Elephas maximus indicus: one gene and its partner. The protein of the gene in region 1 purifies or fractionates together with the protein of each later gene. This does not show direct contact. Links are inferred from orthologs where the notes say so. Each region holds a gene or a part of one and is shown on either strand. Other genes may lie near its edges.

Region 1 (5,515 bases):
AAGATTTCTGCTCTCTTGGGCCATATGGGCTACTGGGGGAGACATGATAAACACACAAAAATAGCAAATACTTGTTGTATTGCGCTTTGTCTGTGCCAGGCACTGTTCTAAGTTTCTAAGTTCTTTATATAAACACATTTAGTCCTCACAACAACAGCACTATGAAGTAGGTTTAGTAGCATTCTATTGTAGAGTTGGGAAAACTGAGGCACAGAGGTTAAGTAATTTGTTCACACCTAGAAAATAAGAGCCAGGATTACAAACCCAGACAATATGGGTTCATCATCTGTGCTCTGAACCAGGGGTCAGCAAACTACAGCCCACCTGTGGCCAGCTTTTGCATGGCCTGCAACCTAAGAACAGTTTTTACATTTTGAAATGGTTGAAAAAAAAATCAAAAGAATAATACTTTATGACACATGAAATTCTAATTTTAGTGTCCATAAAGTTTTATTGGAACACAGTCATGCTCGTTCATTTATGTATTGTCTATGGCTGCTTTACTTTGGACATGTTATCATGTGGGACCAGTCTCTGGAGAAAGACATCATGCTTGGTAGAGGGTCAGCCAAGGAGAGGAAGACCTTCAATGAAATGGATTGACACAGTGGCTGCAATGATGAGTTGGAACCTAACAATAATTGTGAGGATGGTACAAGACTGGGCAATGTTTTGTTCTGTTGTACATAGGGTCGCTGTGAGTTGGAACTGACTCAATGGCACCTAACAACAACATGGCTGCTTTCCTGCTACAATAACAGAGTAGTTGCTGGAAACTAAATAGTCCACAAAGGCTAAAATGTTCCCTATCTGGCCCTTCATAGAAAAATTTGCAGACCCCTGGCCTAAACCAATATGCTGTCCTGCCTCAAAAAATAAACTGGCTAATATCAGAGAGGTAAGTGCCATGAAGGAACTAAAACAGGTTTGTTTGTAATAGACTTGGAGGCAGGTACTTTTACAAAGAGTGATCGACAGAGTTCTCTTTGAGGAGGCGGCCAACTGAATGACAACACGAACCAGCAGGAGGGAGTTTCAGCAAAGGGCAGCAAGAGCAAAGACCTTGCAGTTAGAAATGAACAAGACACTCTTGAAAAGCAAATGGCAAGTGCAGGTATTTGCAAGTGTAATGAATGAGGGGAAAAGCAGCAGAAAGTGAAGTTGGACGGGACACAGGTTGCAGCTGCCACGCAGGGGCTTAGAATGGAGCCTTTTGGATTTCATTCTAAGGTCAACAGGAGATTGTGAAATGGTTTTAAGCAAGTGAGGGACATGATACCGCTGCTGTGTGGAGAGTGGGTTACAAAGGAATGCAGATATAACACTGGTCCGGGTGAGAACTGATGAAAGCTTACATCCGGATGGCGCCAGAGTCTAAGGGTCGCCGCATGGTCGAGGGAGCCAAGGGTCCACGTTGGCCGGGATAAAAGCAGACCAGGTCTTGCTTCAACTCAGAAAAGATGTGGAAGGGGCCCAAGTAAGGCTTATCACTGTCCCAGGTCGAACAGGGGATGAAAAGAGCCGGCGGGGGTCTCAGGAGCCAGGGGTCAGGGAAATCAGAAGCTGGAAGGCGGGAATGAGGAGGCGAGGAGGCAGGAGGCAAGAGGCGGGGCGTCAAGAGGGAGGAGGTAGAGAGACGAGCTGTGCGGAAGCGAGGATATGGTGAAGGCGGGGCGAGGAGGCGGGAAGTAGAGCGCCGGGCGGCGGGGAGGGTGGAAGCTAGACAGCGGGGAGTCGAAAGAAAGAAGGGGAGGGAGTAGGCCCGGGAGGAGGGGAGGTGGGAGGGGCGGGGCGGGGACGAGAGGAGGAGGGCCGGTGCAGGGAGGCGGGGCCGGGGGCGGGAAGGCGGGGCCTGGGGACTGGAAGGCGGGCCGGGCAAAGGAGGGTTGTGGAGGCTTCTCTCCGGCTGTAATGGGAGCAGCGCCTCCGCTGCCTTCCTCTCCTCCCCCGCCCCTGTCCTCTGTGGTCGGCCCCGCCTCCTTCAGTACCTCCACTACCCAGGAAGGCGGTGCGGGCTGAGAGCTGCTTTCACTTTCCCTTCCCCGTGCCCACTCCTCGCTCCACGCGCGGCGTAAGGCCCCCTCCCCAGCCATGACCACACTCAGGGTCCAGCCTGAAGCCCAAGCCAAGGTGAGCGCAGCAGGTTAAAGGAAGGGCCCTTTAGGGAGGCGTGGCTCAAAGAGGCTGAGGGCAACCCTAACTAGCCTCCAGCCCCCGACACGAGTGAAGGTCAGTCGACCGAGGCCACGCACCCGGAGCACCTGAGCCCACGGGAGATCCTCCAGGCCTGCCTGCGGGAAGAGACGAGGCGACCGTGGTTCAGTGGGGTGAGGTGAAGCGGAGAGCTGGCGTAGAGGGGAAATCCGCTGGCCCGGGGCCGGGGCCACACACAGATGGGGTGCGGGACCTGCCCCTGCTACCTCGTGGCCTTCTCATCAGGTCCCCAAGTCCCATCCCACAGGGTGCTCATTCCTGCCCCAGTCGCAGGGGGCTCTCATACATGTCCTCTTCAGGGTGACCCAGGCAACCCGAGGGATCTGTTCCTACATGAACCACCCACTCTTCTCTGCCAGGAATGCTCTCACCCCCCTAATTGAGCCCCACGGGAATCCACTCCTCCACCACCCGGGTCCACCCCCACCCTTCCCCAGCTCCAGGCCCGATGCAATCCTAAAGGAACTGCTCTCAAATGAATTGGCCTTATAGCCAGGTTTCTGAAAGGTTGCCTATGCCCCACAGGTGAATGTGTTCCGGGAAGACCTGTGTGCCAAGGTAAGACCTGCCCCATCTGTACCCCCACTGGTCCCCAACTCCCACCGCTCAGCCCTCCCTCTCTTGCTGGGCAGCAGTGGCTCTGCATCACTGGCCAGGTGGGCCTTTGATTCTGACCTCTGCCTTCCCCCACTCCCACCTCACACACAGACAGAGAACCTGCTTGGGAGCTATTTCCCCAAGAAGATTTCTGAGTTGGATGCATTTCTAAAGGTACTGGGGCTGGGCAAGGGGCTAGAGAATAGGGGCCAAGGGGAGAGTGGGGGGGGGTCAGAAAGAGGAAGTGAGGACACCCTTGCCTACAGCCCTCTTCTCACCCTGCACCAGGAGCCAGCTCTCAATGAAGCCAACCTGAGCAATCTGAAGGCTCCATTGGACATACCAGTGCCTGACCCAGTCAAGGAGAAAGAGAAGGAGGAGCGGAAGAAACAGCAGGAGGCAAGCTGGGGAGAGGGACCTGATCATGGGGAAAATCAACCTTAGGCCTGACTCTCATGAGCCCCTCTCTCGCTGCAGAAGGAAGACAAGGATGAAAAGAAAAAAGGGGAAGATGAAGACAAAGGTACTTGAAACAACGATGGTGGGAAGGGACTTGAGTCCCACTCCCCAAGAGCTTCTTGCTAAGGATCCCTCCCCTGTCCCCCTCACACAGGCCCAGATATGTTACTGACCCATTGCCTACTCCCCAGGTCCTCCCTGTGGCCCAGTGAGCTGCAATGAGAAGATCGTGGCCCTCTTGCAGCGCCTGAAGCCAGAGATCAAAGACGTCATTGAGCAGCTCAACCTGGTGAGCCCTCCCACTCCCACCTCAGGCTTTAGGTTGAACCCTTTGTCCTCCTTGGTTCTTCCCAGTTAGGGCATGACACTACTAGGTCTTAGCAGGAACAGCATAGCAAGTGAAGCCAGAAGTCCAGGCCCTGGGGCTCAGGATGAACCTATCACACCTCCACCCACCTTGTGGGAATTGGGTGGGGGACTGCTGTGACTTAGATGCCATTCCCTTGTCCCAGGTCACCACCTGGTTGCAGCTGCAGATACCACGGATTGAGGATGGGAACAACTTTGGAGTGGCTGTCCAGGTGAGCATGCTGCCCCATGTCCCTGCCTTTCCTTCCCCTCCAGTCTATATTTCCTTCTACTTTATCCTCTTGCTTGCTTTCTCCAGGAAAAGGTGTTTGAGCTGATGACCACCCTTCACACCAAGCTGGAAGGCTTCCACACCCAAATCTCCAAGTAAGTGATCACCCACCCACACCCACACGCATACTCTGCTTTGGATTGGGGACAGAGGCCAGGGCTCATGCCACCTTCTCCCACTCTACACACTTCTTCCACTTCCCACAGGTATTTCTCTGAGCGGGGTGATGCAGTAACCAAAGCAGCCAAGCAACCCCATGTGGTAGGTAGCACAGGTCGGGATATACGGGGGGATGGACACACTTGGATGAAGTCAGGCTGACCCCAAGTCTCCCTCAGGGTGATTATCGGCAGCTGGTGCATGAGCTGGATGAGGCGGAGTACCGGGACATCCGTCTGAGGATCATGGAGATCCGCAATGCTTACGTGAGGAGGCGAGGGCAGCGCAGGGCAGGGGTGGGCAGAGGCAGCTTTCCCAGGCCACCCGCTCCCAGACCCTGCAGGCTGGGGGTAAAGGGTGACAAAGCGTGGCCTCTTCACAAGGCTGGAAATGGGGCACAGAGCGACTGGCACCTACAGCTGACCCCCCACTCCTCCCTGGCCCTGTAGGCAGTGCTATATGACATCATCCTGAAGAACTTCGAAAAACTCAAGAAGCCCAGGGGAGAAACAAAGGGGATGATTTATTGAGGGCCTCTGCTCTCATTTTTGTGATGAGTGCAACAGAGACCCTCCTGCCTTTTATCGGGGACTCCAGACTTTCCCCCCATTTTTCTCCTGTTGAGGTTTCTCTCTCACCTTGCCATCTAGGCACAATAAATATAATCATACTGTTACCCATCAGCCCAAGTCTCTTTATTGGATCCTGGCCCCACTGACCCTGGCTCAAGCATTTTCATTAGTGGGATCAATCCACTGGGTGATTTGGGTATTCAGCTGCTGGTTGGTCCAGTCCTGCCGGATGTCATCAAGGTGTGAGTCAAAGTCCACAAGGTGCTGGTGGGCCCGGCCCTCCAGAAGTGCTCCTACCATCTGCCGCGACTCTTCCCAGTCCCTCCACATCACTCTGAAATAGTAACCACCATGGAAGTCAAACAGTAGGCGATGGGGCCAGATGCAGAACTTGGCAGAAGTTAGGTCTAGGGAAGGACTTTTGGGGCAGGACAGAGGGAACCCAGGAACTTTGGACTTCCAAGAAGTGGAGGGAGTAGGGCACTCACAAGTTCTTGTCTTTGGGGGCCCAGCGGAGACCATGGTTCTCCAGGACAATGACTGGGGGCACACGAGGTTGAGGCACCAGTTTCTGATTATCTAGCTGGTGGACAAAGACAAGCGAGTTTCAAAGATCCCACCCACGATGTTCTCTCCGACTCCCCCAACCCTGAATCCCAAGGCTCACCATGATGAGTACTGCATCAGGGAAGAATTCTGCAATTCGCCCAGCAATTTTCAAGGCCAGGGGCCCAGGGCTGTGTAGAGGAAAGATCAGAGGAATGAGGAACTGGCTGGACAGGCCCCATCATCTGAGCTGGGTCTCCCAGATATGGGTGCAGTTGTGACCTTTCCTTGTAGCTGGGTAGGGGCTGGGGGTGGGGTTAGCTCAGTT
Region 2 (5,515 bases), on another chromosome or scaffold:
CAGATCTTCCGCACCGTTCTCTCATCCTGCAGTTTGGCCACAGATTTCTTTTCCACTCCAAGAACAACAATTTCTCTTCCTCGTACGCCAACCTTCAATAAAAATCAACAAACCGCTTAATACAGTGACTGAGGTTCTGCCACCAGGCGAAGCAGCAGCCCTCACCTCACCAGGTGTGCCAGGCACAGCCTGCCCTCCTCCATGTGCCCGCCACTACAGTCAGCAACACACCCTGCCAACCCTGGGTATCGGCTCTTTATTGGCAGAACTAGCTGAAAGTGAAGAGGACTTGAAGCCCTTACTGATGAGGAGCAGAAGGTACAGCCTTCCGGATGGATTACACTTTAACACAAAGAAGACAAAAATCCTCACAACTGGACCAGTAAGAAACATCACAATAAAGGGGGAAAAGACTGAAGTTGTCAAGGATTTTATTTTACTTGGATCCACAATCAACACCCATGGAAGCAGCAGTCAGGAAATCAAAAGACGCATTGTATTGGGCAAATCGGATGCAAAGACCTCTTCAAAGTGTTAAAAATCAAAGAGGTCACTTTGAGGACTAAGGTGCGCCTGATCCAAGTCATGGTGTTTTCAATCGCCTCATACGGATCCAAAAGCTGGACAATGAATAAGGAAGACGGAAGAAGAACTGATGCCCTTGAATTATGGTGTTGGCAAAGAATAACGAATATACCGTGGACTGCCAGGAGGCAGAACAGATCTGTCTTAGAGAAAGTACAGCCAGAGTGCTCCTCGGAAGCGAGGATGGCAAGAGTTCATTTCACTTACATTGGACATATTATCAGAAAGGACCAGCCCCTGGACAGGGACATCGTGTTTGGTAAAGTAGAGATCAGTGAGAAAGAGGATGACTCTCAATGAGATGGACTGACTCAGTGGCTGCAACAGTGAGCTCAAACAAAGCAGTGATCGCAAGGATGTCGGAGGACCGAGTAGTGTTTTGTTCTGTTGCACATGGGGTCGCTATGAGTCAGGATGGACTCGACAGCACCTAAACAGAGGTTATCCAGGTACTCTAACCTAAAATGCCCGACGCCATGCTTTTAAAATACTGAGAGTTCAATCATAACGTAACTAAATTACTATATAATTAGCATATGCGTTATTTAAATCTAATGAGTTAAACAGTTGCCCTTAATGTCGTTGGGTGCCATCAAGTCAATTCTGACTTATAGTGACCCCATGAGACAGAGTAGACTTGCCCCATAGTTTCCTAGGCTGTGATCTTTACAGGAGCAGATTGCCAGATCTCTCTCCTGTGCAACCGCTGGTGGGTTCAAGCCACTACCTCTTGGATAGCCGCTGAGCGTTTAACCATCATACCACAAGTGCTCCTTAACAGTGAAGTTAGGTATTCTGAAACGAACGTTTCTAAGTTGTGAAATTACGAACAACCCATTGTGCCTGTCCCAGCAGTGCCGTGTGCTAATGCACCTGGCTGTGTGAGGACTTGCCATTGGGGACAAAGGTGTCAGCTGTTGTTGGGAGGGTAGACAGGAGATGATGTGGCCATTGTTCCAAAGAGAGAACCTCAGTTCCGTCCCCACTGAGACAGAAGCAAACACAACGGGACAACTCTCAGAGAGATAACAGCCCTGGTTATTTCTGAGCGGAGCCTCCCAACACCCAGCACTGCTGACGCTCTGGCTAGATGACTCTGTGGGCAGCTGTGCGGGCACTGTAGGGAGATTAGCAGCACCCCTGGCCTCTACCCACTGGATGATAGTACCCCTCCACCTCCTTAAAAATTTAGATACCAAAAATGTGTCTTAAAATTGCCAAATGCCTCCGGAGGAAAAAGTGCCCCCAGTTCAGAACTACCTGACCACTCCCAGAGAAATGGACTGGTTTGCAGGAGCTAAGCCAACAGGTAAGATTTGGGGCCTTCATTTCTAAACAGCTAAAACTTCAAGAAATGAAAAGGAAACGCATAGCACCGCACGGGTTGCCTCTGCTCTGCAGCTCCAACCTCCCCAGTGCTGGGCTTGAAGTGAAAAACTGGCAGAGAATTTGCAGTGACAAACGGACGGCAGCGTCACGTGCTGTCTCTAAGCTCCCTGCACATCAAAACGGCCCTGTGTGGTGTGAGCTGAGGCCCAGCGTGGTGTAAGCTGAGGCGCGGGCTGACTCAGATTGGGTCGGGCTTCTGTGGCCTAATGGTCAGATCCAGGGACGCACCTGCCCAGGCCCTGCATTGCTGACACTGGGAGCCAGCAGCTTTTTGTTCTCCAAGCCCACCAGGTCCTTTGGAGACAACTCATTTCCCTAGTGGAGGAGACCCCCATAACTCGGAGCTGGCTGAGTATCGTTGCTCCAGCGCACCAAGGAAGCCTGCAGGAGCCAGCCCTGAGAGCCCATCTGCGCCCCTGCAGTGCGTGGGCCAGCCACACCCCCGCCGCAGTCCCGCCCAGTGCAATGGTGACCACGCCAAGATGGCCGTCACACTGCCAGCATCGCGCGGGGCTCAGGGGGGCACTCCGCTGCAATGAAAGATAAGCAACCCTCCTTAAGTTTCCACCCCCTTCCCGGAACTCCGCTGTTTGTGAAAACGCCTGTCAAAAACCGTGGGCAAACATCTGCCGATATTTCTTTCAGTTACCAACGCTGTACGTCCCCGGCCTACTCAACCTCTGAGAAATAAACAAGCCGCTCAGTCCTGGCTCGCTCTCCACCCAAACAGCAGAAAGCCACTGACACCGCAGGCCCAAGGCCTCAAATCACAAACGCGGTTCCTCCTCCGTTTTCCTTTCGAACAGCGGCGTCGTTGCTTCCGTGCGCTCCACTCCTACCACTAAAACAACCTAAAACCAAACCCACTGCTCTCGAGTCGATTCCGACTCATAGCGACTCTATAGGACAGAGTAGAACTGCCCCATTGAGTTTCCAAGGAGCACCTGGTGGACTTGAACTGCCGACCTTTTGGTTAGCAGCCGTAGCAATTAACCACTACGCCACTATGCTCAGTTAAAACAGCGAGCCCACCACACACGCCCCCGAATACAAAGAGGGATCAGCACAGCGGCTCGACCAAAGCAGGGCAGCGAAGGCAGAGCTGCCGCGCCGCGCCAAGGTTTAAGGCGCGTACCGGGGAAAGCGCCGCCGCCCGCACGAGAACGCGCCGCTTCCCGAGCCCCCAGCACCCGCCGCCGCGCCCCGGACCACCGCACCCGCCGCGCCTGCCTCCAGGACGCAGGCAGCGGGACACACGGCAGCTTCCCGAGCACCACCCTTCCGGGACCCCGGCACAGCCCGAAGCGCAGCCCTCCCCGGGAATCCTCCCTGCGCTCCCCCGTAGGCTTCCTGGGATCCCCCAGCCCCATCCCGGCGGGCTCCGGGCGCGCACGCCCCGGGAAATTCCCGGCCCACGGCTCGGCCCACTGACCCTCCCCGCGGGTTTCGGGGCGCACACCTGCCGTCGACCCCGGCCCAGGGCGCGGCCCTGCTCGTTCTCCCTTCGGGGTCCGGGGCACGCACCCTCCGCGAAAACCGCCAGGAGCCCCGGCCCCCGCGCGGCCCACTTCCGCCTCGATCCCCGGGCTCGCGCAGGCCTCGACCCGGCCGGTCTTACCGCGGTGGAGCCCTTCTTTACGGCCTCCTGTGCGTACTCCACTTGGAAGAGGTGGCCGTCGGGCGAGAAGACGGTGATAGCGCGGTCGTAGCTCATGGCCGGGCCTGGCACGGCCTGCTCCGGAGACTGCCCGCTGCGCCCCAGCAGGTAGGGGAGACCGCCCGCGCGCGTCCTCAAAAGCGCACACTCATGCGCCGCTGCGGCCGACGCACCACGCCGGGCTACGGCCTACGCTGCCGACGCATGGCTACGCCGCCGACGGAAGCCTACGACTGCGCTGCTCGGCTGACCCGCCGACGGAGGCTTACGGCGCCATCGCACGGCTACGCTGCCGACGGAGGCCTACGCTGCTGGCGTAAGGCGTGGGAGGGCGTCCGGAGCGCACCACGGCGGGCGCGGGGGAGCGCGGCGAGAGCGGCGACGGCGGGTGCGGCGCGCGGGACAGGCGGCGGAGCGCACGGCGCGGGGCGCTGAGATAGGATCGGCGGCGCGCGGGGCGGTGGACGGGCAGGCCGGGGTACGAGGCGGAGGCGGCGGCCCGGGCGAGCCCACCGCGCGGCGCCCCCCGCCCGCCCCGCCCCCACCGCTGCGGAGACAGAGCGTCCTCGGACGCCGCGCGCGGCCAGAGAATAAGCCCCATGAGCCAGGGCTGAACCTCTGCCACCATGTCCGTGGCCTTCGCGTCCGCCCGACCGAGAGGCAAAGGCGAGGTCACGCAGCAGACCATCCAGAAGGTGGGCCGCGGGCCGGGGCGGGCGCGGGGGGCGCAGGGCCGGAACAAAGCGCGGGCGCTGCCGCACCGAGGCCGCCCCCCGCGCCCCTCGCAACGCTCTCGGGTGCGACCGCCGAGGCGCGCCGCCTGCGCCAACTTTGTGGGGGGCGCGCCGGCCCGGGTGGGTGCGGGGGTGCCCGGTTCCCCAGGACGCAGCCGGTGTCCGCGGTGCTTGCCGGAGCCAGCCCGGGTCATGCCGGGGACAGGGTGCCGGGGACAGGGTGCCGCCGCCCGCGGGGCTGGGGACAGGGTGTCTCGGGGCCGGGCAGGAGCAGGGCTGATCGCGCTCGGTTGCAACCTGGGTGGCGAAGCGGCGGCGGCCACTTGCTTCTGCTCGCACGTTGGCGAGTGGAGAGGGGCCGGGTGGGCCTGGGGTGCATGGCTGGGGCGGCACGCAGCCTTTTCACAAAGGTGCTGACGCTTGGAGCCAGGAAGGGTCGGAGCAAAGTGTGGGGATCTCGTCCCCGAAGCCCCGCGCGTGAAGTCCACTTGCTCACCAGTGCGCCACCACCTCGTACTCGCATGTAACATTCTTTTTAGCGTGACACCCTGGCCTGCTTTTTCAGCTAACAGAAACTTTGTAGATTTGCCTCACAGCGTTCCTTCTCGTTTTACAAGCTTGGCACTGCAGTTTTCTAGGGATATCATTGATCTAGGCTTAGGAACGTGTTTAACAAATGCTTTTTAGACAAAAGCCTGTAGTTTTGAAAGGGAGACTTGGGATGTCTTATTGTTTCTTATTAGAAGACTCGCTCAGAAGGGAATCCGAGGCAGGCATTCCGCTTTAATCTCCACAACGTCATTTGTAGCTACATCGTTTTCTTTTCTGAACTTTTGATTCCGTTATCATTCTTCCTGCGGGTTCCCAGGAGCGTCCAATTTTCCTTCGGGGTGCACTTTGCTGACTGTGCCCTGTGTTCTTTGGTAATCTGCTGGGTCCTCGTGGAGGTGGCCCTCAGTCTGTGACTTGTCGTCGTATAAACGTTACTACATTAGCTGGCGTTAGGTGTTCAATGATTTTAACAAACAAGGAGCCTCAGCAGATTGAGAAGCAGTAGAAATGCAGATCTCAGAGTGTGGCGTTTTAATTGTGTAATAAACATTACTGTAGTGCTTATTGCGTACCAGCCAGGTTCTAACAGTTGTCCAAG

The links. The genes of interacting proteins can lie anywhere in the genome.
Region 2: the proteins of PSME1 (region 1) and PSMA7 purify together in Homo sapiens (affinity purification with mass spectrometry; 5 studies listed by BioGRID and IntAct, with this or other methods). This does not show direct contact. The link is inferred for Elephas maximus indicus from reciprocal best matches to the Homo sapiens genes PSME1 and PSMA7.

The regions. Positions count from the first base shown.
Region 1 is NC_064828.1:35,493,909-35,499,423, forward strand, and holds PSME1 (proteasome activator complex subunit 1), read left to right. Parts: upstream 1-1,974; 5' UTR 1,975-2,091; coding exon 2,092-2,130; intron 2,131-2,739; coding exon 2,740-2,772; intron 2,773-2,922; coding exon 2,923-2,985; intron 2,986-3,099; coding exon 3,100-3,210; intron 3,211-3,288; coding exon 3,289-3,334; intron 3,335-3,461; coding exon 3,462-3,559; intron 3,560-3,782; coding exon 3,783-3,851; intron 3,852-3,937; coding exon 3,938-4,005; intron 4,006-4,116; coding exon 4,117-4,171; intron 4,172-4,248; coding exon 4,249-4,335; intron 4,336-4,518; coding exon 4,519-4,599; 3' UTR 4,600-4,745; downstream 4,746-5,515. Other genes in the region: EMC9 (ER membrane protein complex subunit 9), read right to left, coding at 4,795-4,975, 5,130-5,224, 5,309-5,378. UniProt on the Homo sapiens protein: Implicated in immunoproteasome assembly and required for efficient antigen processing. The PA28 activator complex enhances the generation of class I binding peptides by altering the cleavage pattern of the proteasome.
Region 2 is NC_064843.1:5,785,038-5,790,552, reverse strand, and holds the start of PSMA7 (proteasome subunit alpha type-7), read right to left. Parts: upstream 3,818-5,515; 5' UTR 3,689-3,817; coding exon 3,593-3,688; intron 93-3,592; coding exon 1-92. Other genes in the region: SS18L1 (calcium-responsive transactivator), read left to right, coding at 4,258-4,326.